Cricetulus griseus: one gene and its partners. The protein of the gene in region 1 interacts with the protein of each later gene in a biochemical or structural test. Links are inferred from orthologs where the notes say so. Each region holds a gene or a part of one and is shown in the gene's direction. Other genes may lie near its edges.

Evidence for each region. The genes of interacting proteins can lie anywhere in the genome.
Region 2: the proteins of Ptpn3 (region 1) and Scn5a form a complex in vitro, tested with the Homo sapiens proteins (2 studies listed by IntAct, with this or other methods). The link is inferred for Cricetulus griseus from reciprocal best matches to the Homo sapiens genes PTPN3 and SCN5A.
Region 3: the proteins of Ptpn3 (region 1) and Rps6ka1 interact in a test that uses a peptide from one of them, tested with the Homo sapiens proteins (2 studies listed by BioGRID and IntAct). The link is inferred for Cricetulus griseus from reciprocal best matches to the Homo sapiens genes PTPN3 and RPS6KA1.

What each region holds. Positions count from the first base shown.
Region 1 is NC_048595.1:86,575,356-86,579,596, forward strand, and holds the start of Ptpn3 (tyrosine-protein phosphatase non-receptor type 3), read left to right. Parts: upstream 1-1,395; 5' UTR 1,396-2,008; intron 2,009-2,702; exon of another isoform or gene 2,703-2,823; intron 2,824-4,241.
Region 2 is NC_048597.1:226,640,120-226,644,314, reverse strand, and holds the start of Scn5a (sodium channel protein type 5 subunit alpha), read left to right. Parts: upstream 1-1,365; coding exon 1,366-1,638; intron 1,639-3,158; coding exon 3,159-3,277; intron 3,278-4,195. UniProt on the Homo sapiens protein: Pore-forming subunit of Nav1.5, a voltage-gated sodium (Nav) channel that directly mediates the depolarizing phase of action potentials in excitable membranes.
Region 3 is NC_048595.1:19,392,982-19,396,970, forward strand, and holds the start of Rps6ka1 (ribosomal protein S6 kinase alpha-1), read left to right. Parts: upstream 1-1,159; 5' UTR 1,160-1,285; coding exon 1,286-1,348; intron 1,349-3,989. UniProt on the Homo sapiens protein: Serine/threonine-protein kinase that acts downstream of ERK (MAPK1/ERK2 and MAPK3/ERK1) signaling and mediates mitogenic and stress-induced activation of the transcription factors CREB1, ETV1/ER81 and NR4A1/NUR77, regulates translation through RPS6 and EIF4B phosphorylation, and mediates cellular proliferation, survival, and differentiation by modulating mTOR signaling and repressing pro-apoptotic function of BAD and DAPK1.

The sequences.
Region 1 (4,241 bases):
TATTATTTGCATTCTTAGTGGTGTGTCCATGCCACCTTTTCACAATTTGTTGCTTTCAATATTTTCATTTGTTGTTTCCTGTTGTTGCATAGTGATAGAAATAGTTTAAGTTATAATTTTATTTGTTTATTGTGTGTATGTATGCATGTGCATGCACATGGAGATCAGAGCATAACTTGCTTGCAGGAGTCAGTCTTCCACCAGGTGGGGCTTGGGGATTGACTGATCTCAGGTCAGTTTGTCTGCAAGTGCCCTTACCCACTGAACCATATCAAGGACCCGAGAGATCTAGTTGTAATTATTTCAGTGAATGGATCTGAACACAATCAATCATTACCCTCCCTTTGAGCATCTGCTTTGTTCCAGTTGGGGAGGAGGATTCTTTTATTTCTTTTATTATGTTCCTGGTTCTGTTATGGTGATTTGAAATACGAATTTAAAAAAAAATCTTGCTTGTTGGTGGTAGCACATGCCTTTAATTCCAGCACCTGGGAGATAGAGACAGGTGGAAGATCGAGGCCAGCCTGGTCTACAGAGAGAGTTCCAGGACAGCCAAGGATACACAGAGAAACCCTGTCTCGAAAAACAAAACAAAAAATTAATAATAATCTTTAGGGATTTAAGGTTCACAGCTATTTTCTAGCTCGAATCTGAGACCATTGCTTAAGCAATGATGAGCAGAGAAAAGGTAACGGTTTTACTCCAGCAACTTTAAACTGGACAGCGCTAAGAATTCTCCAGGCCTCATCTTAGCAGTCCGTGTTACGAGAGGATGGCATAATTGAGATAGGCACTTCCGAAACGAATATTGGGGTAAGGCTTCTAGTGGTAGAGATTCGTGCTTATGGTGTGCAAAGCCCTGGATTCAAGCCTCAGCAAGGGGTAAATATTTAAAGTGGACTGAATAAATTCACGTCCTTTTTTATTTTATTTTATTTTTCCAATCCCCACACGCCCCCGAATCCAAGCGTAGGCATTTGTATTATTTAGGGCACAGAGAGCGCAAGGCTCTGGTAGCAGATCACACAGCAGCTGGTAGAGGACAGAGTGTGCAGTCAGCTGACTCTGAATGGTCTTCCCACCATGCTTGGGGGAGGAAGGTTACCCAGCACTCCCTGCCCGGAGGCAGAAGGCTGAGCCTGAGATGACCAGGTGGGACTCGGTGTGCAGCCTCACCAACCCCTCCAGGGGGTTTTTCCTTCCGGACGCTGGGCGCCCCAGGCTCCGAGCATGCCCAGTGCTCTCCCTGCCGGTCCGAATGGTGCTGCCACGGCGCTGTGGCTCCAGGTTTTGCGTACGATCCTAGGCGGGGCCAAGGCAGTGCAGCCCCCGGGACTCCCGGCTCTGTCGGAATTCCCCGGACGCGACGCTCCCGCGGCTCCCGCAGCGGTGCACTACCTTGGGACCGGGACCGGGATCTAAACCAGTAAACCAGGCACGGTCGAGGGTCTCATGGTGCCTAGGGGACAAAAGGTTCTCGGGACATCCGACTATAGGGGTCCTACCCACCTCTACATCCTCCGGTTAGCAATCTTCATTCAACAAAAACGTTTTTAGTTTGTGCCAAGAGTTGTTTAGAGGTTAGGTCTCTTGAGAGGCGGAGCTACCGAACTGACACTGAAGGGAGGTACTCCTTACGGGGGACCCAAGCCAAGAGAGACAGCCAGTAACCGACCCCGTTTGTCCCTGTGCCCTCTTTCCCGTGCCGTAGGCACAACACCTGCGCTCCTTGTTTTGGCACTGACTTTTCCGTCCTAGGAAAGCTTCCTCGTTTAGCTGCGTGACTGAATGGTATTTGTCACCTGATCCGGCTGTTCCACCAACTCTCATCAGGCCACCCCCCTAGCCTTCTTGCCCAGCTCTCTCCCCCACCATCCCCACCCCGTTCTTAAGAATTTATCACCTCATACACTGCGTTGTTTGCGGACCTGTTGTTTGTTGCGAGAGACTCCCTTCCAAACTCCCAGCAAGGGGCAGAAATTTTGTCTATTTATTAAATGTGAAGAACGTAAGTAATTGTTGAATGGATACGTGATACTTGCTTGGAAGGCGATAACGGACGTGGAGAGTGGCCAAGAGGTCAGGGCTAGTTTAGAAAGGTAGCCAGAAAGGCCTCTCCTACGGAAGATACCTGTACGGTGAGAGGGCGCCGGGCACCAGCTAAGTTGGGGAAAAGACGTCCTACCCCGAGGGAAAGGCAGCGCAAACGTCCCGAGGCGAGTCAAGTTCAGAGGGTGTGATGAAGAGGAAGGTGCACTCAGAGCGCAGGAAGGCAGGTGTGGGAGGAGGCGGAAGAGGCAGGCAGGAACGCCCTCCAGCTAGGGCCCCTGCTGGCCTTGGGACAGGCTAACCTGTTTGGCGTCCTAGGACCAGCAAAGGACTGTGCTGGAGTGTCAGCGAGATCCCCAACTCAGCCACGGAGCCCGGTGCAAGCTCGCTGTCATTTCAAAGATTCATTGAGCGCCAAGTCCTTGCCATTCCTAGGCATGCAATCCCGGAAAGTCAGGCACACAGTAGGTGTTCAATAAATGCTTAAGGTATGAACGGCAGCGAACGTGAGCCGGGGTCTCGGAGGTCCGCGGGATGTCGGCAGGTGGCCCGCGAAGGGCATGGCAGCGTGCCCCAAGCCTGCCCCGGGCCCGCCCCTGTCCCGGGTCCCCCGCCCCGCGCGCGGGCCCGTCGCGGCCACAGCCGGGCCGGCGGGAGCCGCCCGCGGGCTGCACTGGGCATGCTCAGACGGCGGCCAGGTCGCGGCGCGAGCGAGCTTCCGCGCCGCCCGTCCGCGCGACCTACCTGGGCGCCCCGCGCCCCCGGATGCTGCAGGTATGGGCGGCTGGGACCTCCGCGGGGTGGGCCGGGGCGCTGGCTGCGGAGATCAGGGACTCGCGGGGCGCCACCCCACCCCCACCCGGCCCGGGGCGCGGCGGACATGCGGGAGGACTAGCGGGAGGGCTGGCAGCCCCGGGTCCCCCGCGCCACGTCGGGCATCTTGGGGGGGCGCTCAGGCCCGGATCACCTGGCGGGGCTGGGGCGGGGCGCGAGCGGGGACGGCGCAGGGCTGGGCGTTCAGGACACGGCGGCGCGGGCGTGGGCGTGCGCTCCAGTCTGGTTGAGCCCTGGGCCCGGCGCCGCGATATAGTCAGCCTCGCCGAGGGGGCGCACGGCCGCGGGGATCCATCCGTCCGCGGCCCCCGAGGCTCGCCCCCCAAATTGGGGGGGCGCAGTTCGCCTCCCAGTTGCAAAGATGGCATTTCCTGGGCCTGGCACGAACTCCAGAGCTAATCCAATCCGCCCCGTTCCGCGGGCGACCGGGTGGCTTCTCTGTTAACTTGCGGTGACATTGCTGCGTTGTGCGGAGAGAGAACCGGAAACCCTCGCCCCCGGTTGCTGCCACCCAAACTTATTACGAACTTGAGGGTTGCCTTTAAAAAATTCATGGGAAGTTAAGACAACTTGGCACCTGGTGTTCCATGAAGGTGCAGGGAGCTTGTGGTTAGGAAACGCGAGACCTGGGTTCAAGTTGGGCTCTTTACCTTGGCCAGTTGGTGACCTTGGACGAGTAGTTTAACCTCCCTGATCCTCCATTTCCTCCCTTGCATGCAGGCAGTAATAATGCCCACCTCGCCTGGTTGGTGGTGGATTAAGTAGGATAAATGATGTGGAGGTGTTTGGCTCTGTGCCCGGCACAAAGCAAGCGAGCAGTTGGCGTGATGTGATTTTAATTCAGTTAGAGACCCTCGTGGCTCCCATTTCGTCAGGAAATTAGAATTAGGCAAGCATTTTCGGAGCCTGTGTTTGTGCCCCGGAGAAGGTCTGCTGAGGCTTTGGAAAAGCAACTGAACAGAACGGTGGGGAGCAGAGAGCCTCTTGTTTAAAGGCAGTCTGGAGTTAAGAAACTCCAGAAGTTGACACTTGGTCCCCACTTGCAGAAAGAACTGTTTCTGCAAGATGACCCGCCTTGCAAATGAGTTGGAAAGCCTGTCTGGGAAGATGCCGATGCTGCAGAGCTCCCATGCCTAACCTTAAGTACTTGGATCAAGGTTTGTCGGCATCTCACAGTGGGTTTGTGTCTTCTTTGCGGTGGGTGCCCCTTGTGCATTATAGGGTGCAAAGCAGCCTCCCTGGTATTTGCTCAATTGGTTCTTGCTGCAGCCCTTTCCATGTGCCAACCAGAAATGCCACCATGTATTGTCTGGGTTGACGTGTCTCCCCTTTCAGTAGAATTAGTTGTGATACGCTCT
Region 2 (4,195 bases), on another chromosome or scaffold:
AGCAGGTGTCCAGTCTGCCCTCTTGAGCCGGTGCCCAGCCATTCCCGGGTTTGATGTGGTAATTAGAGGTGCAGCCCCCTGGCTTCGTGTCATAGTCAGGAGCCCTCTGGCCACATCCTGTTTTGGTGAGCCAGTCAGAATGCATTCTTCTGCCTTGCTGTCATAGACAGAGTGTGTTTGCACCAGGTCCTGAATCTTTTGAGGCCGCCAGGGGCCACATTCTCCCGGTTTGACATCACACACGTGTCTGTTGGACGTCCTCTTCAGTAGTGGTCACTGTCTTCCGGTCTCCTTGGGATTGGCATTTGTTTGTCCTCTCTTGTGGGGGAAGTGGGGCAGTGTGATGAGCCACAGCCCCCCCCCCATTCCCCATCTTTAGAATCAGTCTAGTTAGGGATGGCGCTGTCCCCAGGGGATCCCATGGGATCCTCATCAGGAGGTCTGCACAGCTGTGCACACCAGTGTGCCAACATTTGGATGCCGACTCCTCTGCTGCTGCCCAGATGTTTCTGAAAATCCGCAGGGTTTTCCTGGGTCCCTTGGGGTGAACGCTGATGTCCTCTCAGTTGCTGCCTCTTGTGCCCAGGTTTGGTGTGTAACACCTCATGGGCGGGCATGGTGTGTGCCACCTCATGGGTGGGCATGGTGACTGTGAGAACTGGACACCCCTCAGGCTGGGAATATTCCCTGGTGAGGAAGGGTAGGACCCCCGACATTTGCATGTGTTTCACCTTTCATGCGGGAGCAGAAGATCCATTCTGTCAGGGTCTGGGATAAAACAAATGGCCTCTGTCCATCCTGTCCCATGGAGCCCAGGGAGCCAGTTGGGGATGGGAGAGTCTTGAAAGAGGACAGTTGAGATGTTTCTTGTGTGGGAAGTGGGCAGGGTAAACTCATGATGGAACATTTTCCCTTGACCGCTGGTTTTCAGACACACACATTGCCAGTTCAGTGACATCTCCTCCCTCTCCCTCCCTCTCTCTCTCTCTCTCTCTCTTTCTCTCTCTCTCTCTCTCTCTCTGTCTCTCTCTGTCTCTCTGTCTCTCTGTCTGTCTGTCTCTCTCTCTCTCTCTCTCTCTCTCTCTCTCTCTCTCTCTCTCTCTCTCTCTCTCACACACACACACACACACCACAGTGGAGAGCATACGTGTGTACCCCAGCCACTGTCAATCATGTGTGCCTGACCAGTGATTGGCAGCTGGGAACCCTGTACACTTTGCAAATTTTGTCCTTTCCTGCTCCAGCATAGCTGGCCGACCGCCCTGCCCTCTGCCTGGGGCACCCCCTCACACACATGTCTGTGTCTTCCAGCTTCCCCCCAGGCAGCCTGAGGAGATCCTGTGCCCCCAGAAGCAGGATGAGAAGATGGCAAACTTCCTGTTACCTCGGGGCACCAGCAGCTTCCGTAGGTTCACCCGGGAGTCTCTGGCGGCCATCGAGAAGCGCATGGCGGAAAAGCAGGCCCGAGGTTCGGCCACGTCACAGGAGAGTCGTGAGGGCCTGCCAGAGGAGGAAGCTCCCCAGCCCCAGCTGGACCTGCAGGCCTCTAAAAAGCTGCCAGATCTCTATGGCAACCCACCCCGAGAGCTCATCGGGGAGCCCCTGGAAGATCTGGACCCTTTCTATAGTACCCAGAAGGTGACTGCCACCCCCTCAACACCCTCCTCACCCTTCTAGGTAGCTCCTAGGAAGACAGCAGGCAGATGGGGCTCTGCTCATGTGGGGTTCTGTGTGGGGCTGGCTCCCCTGGGCTTTGGGGGAGTGACTTACCACTGATCTATATTCCAGTCACCTTAAATTTGGAGTTCTGGGGTGAAGACATAAATAGTGGTGTTTGGGGCCCTAACTTGGGGGCAGGAAGACCACAGAAGTCTTTCCTTCTCATGTAGTGCTTTGGTGTGTACCTCTAGGGTACTCCTTCCTGTTCCTAGACGGGTGAGCACTTGGAGTAAAGCCCTGTGTGGTCTCCCTTCTAAATAAAAGTGGTGTGTGCTCCTCCCATCCTTCTGGCAGCTCAGAGAGCCAGCTGGCTCAAGCTGAGCCACAGTGGTCTCAGATTCCTGGGCCGTATGGCCTCCCCTGAACCACAGAGGCCATGAAAGGCTGAGAGGGGAGAAGAGGCCGCGACTGCTGAGGCATGGAATTGTGGGAAAGACCTGTTCTGTCATCATGGCTCCCCCGGAGAGGGAAGGGGGTGTTGTTTCTCCAAGACCCTGCCCTGGCCTCCTCTTCAGGCCACCCGACTATCCTCACTTCTGAGCCTAATTGGGGGGGGGGGTTGGTAGTGGGACAACTGGCTGGAATCTGGAGAAAGTACTTCCCTGAAGGCCAGGCACCAGAGCTATGGTCAGCTCCAAGCTAAGAGCAGAGCGAAAGACAACCGTAGTCAGTGTGAGGGTTCATGTAACGAGTGTCAGTGTGTCTGTCAGCATGGTCAGAGACAACTTTTGGGAGACTAGGAGCCTGTGTGTGTGTGTGTGTGTGTGTGTGTGTGTGTGTGTGTGTGTGTGTAGCGTGTGTCTCTCTGTGTGTGTATCTGTGTGTGTATGTGTGTGCACATACAGGGCTGCGTGTGTGATCAGCTATGGATGTGGAGACCCACACACTCAGTCCCCGCTGTCAGGAAAGCTGGCCTGGGGCTACTGTGAAGCTTCCAGAACTCCCGGTTCAAGTGACTAGAGTCAGTCAGGGTTGGGCATGAGTGTGAGAGTTATTAGGCCAGAGGTGAATTGGGTGAGTGGGTAGGTGGACTTAGGTCATGGACGGTCAGAGATGACTGGATTGGGATTGGGGTTAGGGACATGGCTGAGAGAGTCTAGGTCACCATGAGAGGAATAGAGAGGATTAGGTTGGAGTCAGATGAGACCAGTAGAGGGACAGGCAGTAGGTGAGCCTAAGGATGGAGTCCAGGCTGGGTGGGCTTCAGGCCTCTTCTCCCGTGATTATAGGTGTGTGCCACCACACCCCCTGAAAGGGTCCTGGCTGAGATGGTAATTCTGAAACTAAAGAAAATCTCAACCAACCTGACATCACCCAGACTCCACCTTCCCCCTCTTCACTCACGGCCCAGGCATGGGGTCTCACTTCCTTTCCTGCTTCCCTGCCCCTTAGCCTCGACCTGGGGCTCTGAGATGACAGCTGTCTCCCTCTGTCTACAGACCTTCATCGTGCTGAATAAGGGCAAAACCATCTTCCGATTCAGCGCCACCAATGCCTTGTACGTCCTTAGCCCCTTCCACCCCGTACGCAGAGCGGCAGTGAAGATCCTGGTACATTCATATCCTTTGCTGTTAATCCCTGTGGTCCGCCTCTGTCCTGGGCTGATACACGATGGGTGCTGGGCAAGACCCCTTACTGCTCCTGGGGCAAGCAACTGATTAGAAAAATAGAACCCCAAACTCCACCCTAGATAGTGCCTGCTCATTAACAAGATCCCTAGGGGGTATTTGGGGTGGAGGAGACTTTGAGAAAGCCATGACATCCCCTCTGCTTCTTCAAGAGGAAAAACAGCCTTGAAACCAGCAGTAGGATTCCAGAAGAAATGATGTCCTCAGCGTTGTCCTGTTTCTGGTGGCTCCAAATGTCCCCACCCACCACCACCTGGAGGTTCCCCCCACACTTCCCGCTGCCCCTTGCAGAGGCTCAGCCAAGGAAAAGCCAGGCCTTGGTAAAAAGGCCTCTAGTTTTTTCTCATGTGGGCATCTTTTGAAGGAGACAGCGCTTGCATCTGAACTAGGTGTTGACAAAATGTTTGCAGTTTGAGAGCTTCTCAAAGAACTCTGGTTAGCGTCCAATTACATAAACCGCAGCCTAAAAATGCTTCCTGCCTGCTGACAGAGCTATTGGAGTGAAGCAGTGGGGCAAAGAGTGCCAAACCAGCTCCGGGGGCCCAGTTCAGGCAGCGTCCGAAGGGGGACCAGTCCTTCTCCGCATTTCATTGTTAAGACATGCTTATTTACTTACTGTGTTCTTGTGGGGGGGTGGGGGGAATGTGGAGGTCAGAGGACAAACTGCACGGGACAGTTGTCCCCTTTCACCATGTGGGTTCCCGGGATCAAACATGGGTGGTCAAGCTTAAACAGCAAGTGCCTTTGCCACTGAACTGACTCACTGGTCCACTCGTCTCGTCTCTAGATTTCAGAGAAGGGACTTGAGGAGTCTCAGAGAGGGATGGTGCTGTCCACCAAGGCAGAGA
Region 3 (3,989 bases), about 67 Mb from region 1:
GCAGGCAAGCTCATTTACCCATTGAGCCGTCTCACAAGTCCATCCCACACCCTTCTAAAGACGAATGTACTCCCGATCCTGTGTGACTTTGGATAAATCACTTCCTATTTCTGAGTGTCTAGTAGGAGGTGGTGAGTTCTCAAGAGAATCACAAGCCACCTGGAGGTATAGGTCCATGGTACCAAATGCAACTTAGCGTGCAAAGCCTGGCTCCCATACCCAGAACCAACTAAGCAAGGGAACACAAACACACTCACAGACACACACACACACACACACACACACACACACTCACACACACACACACACACACACAAACACACACACACACACATACACACACACACACACACACAAACACACACACACGGCAGGAGGCTTTTAGGAAACTAACCAGCTTGTCGTTGGGCTATCTCACCTGAGACCACACCTGGGCCCTACGACCTCTTTAGGCGTAGGCCAAATCCTGCCTGAGGGAATCGTGACCCCACTAGGCCTAGACTTTGCCCTCTTCACAGGGCTTCAAGTTCAAACCAGACCACCATCCGGCCTGGCGCGGAAGAGACGCTGGACCTGGCCTGAAACCAGCGCCCTCAAGCGATAGGGCACAGACTGGGAGGGAAAAAATGCGTGTTGAGAAATCACCCTGGGGGCGCTGTGGGTCCTGACGCTGGGACATGGGGATCACTTAAGAGACCCCAGGTGGGCTCCCTGCTGTGCGGAGGCTTGCGGAGGGAGAGCCTGAGGACACACGGCCCCGGATCCTTCCAAGCCTCTGTCTGGATCAGGCCCAGGACATCCCTGGTAGGGTGGCAGCCCCTCCCGCTGGAGGGAGAAGGCACATCTGGGTTAAGATTCCAAATGCTGCGAGGACGGGACAACGGTGGCCCGGGCGGGGTCTGCGCGGGGACACACAGGCCGGGAAGAAGGAAGCCGCAGACTCTCCGGCGGGCAGGGCCCCGAGTGGGCCAGGGGCTCGAGGGAAGGCGGGGCCGACTCCCAGCGCGTTGGGGGCGGGGGTCCGCGCCGGGAATGCCGCGCCGTGGGGATGGGCGGGGCTGCCCAGGCCCCGCCCCCGCGCAGGTAGCCAATGGGCGCGGCGGCGCCGGGTGACGGAGGGAGCCGAAGTGCGAGTGCCGCGGCGGCGGCGGCGGCGGACGGCCCAGCCGGAGCGCGAGGGCGCGGGCGCGCGGGGGGTCTCAGTGCAGCGCCGGGGACCCCGGGGCCCGGAGGCAGCGCAGCCCGGGGCCGCCGAGAGCAGCGCGAGCGGGTCGGCGGCGGCGCGATGCCGCTCGCCCAGCTCAAGGAGCCCTGGCCGCTCATGGAGCTGGTGCCGCTGGACCCGGAGGTGAGTGAGAGGGGCGGGGGACAGGCGGCGGCGGCCGGCCGGCCAGCCCGCGGATCCGCACAGGGGCGGGGCGGCCCGCGTCGTCTCTGCAGCCCCGCGAGGACGCGAGTGCCCTCTGGTCTCTAGCCCACTGGCCGGCTCCACCCCCCTGTGCTCCGGGTGTGCGTGTGCAGGGCACGGTTCTGCTGGACGCTCAGTACCTCCTTGCAGTAGCCAGGAGAGGGAACCCCACGGGCTCTCGAGATTTGACACCCTAAGCACCCCTAGGACTCGTCCCGCTTATCATCTTTTGGGAGCTGTGGGAGTTGCCCCAGTCATTGCAGAAGGGAAAGGCTTGGGTCAGATGTCTGAGGTTCTGTTAGAGACAAGGATCATGGGAATCTGGTTTCTCCCCGTATCTTCTCTTCAAGAGCTCTCTTCGTTCCTCCACTTCTGACCTTAGGAAGGTAGCCCTTCTGGACCGTGGCAGTTATGGAATGTGGGATTTTACCACCTCTGGAGTGGGGACCTCCTGGTTTCCTTTGCCCTAATGCTAATGACACACGGGTCTCCTCCTTCAGGTTATGCTGAAGAGAGGGGAGAGCCCTTAGACCTTGTGAAGATTGTCTCTGGGGAAGAGACCCCGCATCCGTCTTCCTCTCTCCCTCCTTCTTCCTTTCCTGGAGAAAAGGCTGGGCCCTTGGGCAGTGTGGCTTCTACCATCTAGTCTCTCCCAGAAGCAGCTCCTATCCTACCAGGGCTTTGTGGTCCAACCCTGAGCATGTAGGAGGCCACTTTTGGTGGTGTCCAGTGACCCTGGGATCAAGGTCAAGTCTTAAACCAGCAAGTTGAAAACTTTGCCCTGCTCTCATACTGGGAAGGAGGCAGGTGAAACTTTGCCTTAACTGGAGCTGTTAGGGTACAGAAGACAGATGGAGACCTCACTTGACCCCAGAACCTAGATGATCTTTCTGCTGGCTTGAACCCTTACCTATGTTTGGGACCTCAGGGCAGTCACCATCGGTCCTGCCTGTCAGGGCCACAGGTAGAGGGATCCACAGTGGGGACCCCAGGTCTTCAGGCACCCAGAGCATGCTGCCCCTTTAAAGGGATGGGCTACACTGGCTATTGGAGGGTGGGCGCGGCTGGATTAGGTAACCAACCTGAAGGCGCAATTTGGAGTAAATTGTTCTGGGATCCCTGCCATGGGGTTTTTACAGGCCCTACACAGCCCTCAGAGGTTCTCTCGCTGACTCACCCTGGTAGGTGAGGAGCACTGCCCTGTGCAGCCCCTGTTGCCTTCCCCCCCACCTCAGGGCTGGGCACAAGGCCTGCGGGAAGGCTCAGAGGTGTATTCCTTTGCCTGGGCACGCCCCTGCCACCTGGGCCTCCAGAGGAAGGTCGAGCTGAGCTGGGTATGGTTAGGGAGGGACTTAGCCTGGCGATTCACAGTGTTACACTAGCAGGGAGGGTAGAGATCTGGTAGCCCTGGCCTCCTCCAGGGCAGCACTTCCTGCTTCCCTTTGGGAAATCCTGAGGCCACAGCCAGCTTCATAGGGGCCAGGTTAAACCGGAAACTTCTTAGTTTGAACACTGTTGCACCTGAATTTGGGGAGAGGAGACTGTCGGATTTCCTGGGATGGGGAGAGGAGTTTACAATGAGTTTTACTTCAGAAATGCTGAGTGGCCCGTAGTCCATGTTCCGGCTCTCTTGGGCTTCTCTTTTCACTGCCACAAATGCACTTCTAAATCTGCTTCCTGGGCCTGACAAGGTGCAAAACCCTGGGTACTGCTGTTGGTGTCCCCTCCCCCCGGGCCATGGAGGTGCCAGTGGACTGGGTGTTATTGTCTGGGTAACAGGAGCCATGGGGCAGTGAGGGTGTGCATTCTTACTTGAGAACAGGGCCTTGCTGTTCTTAGTGCAGATGGCATGTAAGCGATACATGTGCCTGACCCGCAGGTACTGGCGCCATTGTGGGCAGCTTCTAGCCAGGAAGGAAGCAGGTAAGGGGGCTGGCAGGGGCATTTGGCAAAAGAGGTTTGGGATCTGAATTGCCCTGCCTTCCCATTGCTATCACCAAAAAGTGGGCTGCTGGGCCCAGGTGGAATAAACCAGTCCGAAGTGTGGGTGAGGATGCTGCCTGGGTTTTCTTGGTTTGGGCAAAAACAAGAGAGTCTGGTCTCCAGGCCCTATCCTGCCAGGCTTCACTATCTGGTGTCCATGGATGTTATATGACTTTAATTTTCACAACTTCTCAAGATAGAAATTATGACTCCCATTTTCAGAGGGGACAGCTGAATTTAGAAATGCTGGCACCTGCATTAATATGTGGGGCAGGATTGGAACTCAGGGCTCTTGCTGTTTCCTACCAAGCAATGGAGACTTAAAGATGAGCATGGGCTAGGTTTAAACTGGCACAGGTGGCAGGTACTCCAAGAGCAGCTCCGGATGTTGGCACAAACTTCTCAGTCCGCAGGGCCCTTGTCCAGCCTTGGCGGAGGGCTAGCGGTGTCCTGGCACTTGGCCCCCAGGCTCCAGCAGTGTACAGGGCTGCCAATGCTGGGCTCAGACCCCAGTTCCTGGGGCTGCTTCCTGCCTGCGGGGCATGTACTATCTTTCTCCATCTGTTCTGTTCTGCTCTTGACTTTTCCAGGAGCTGCT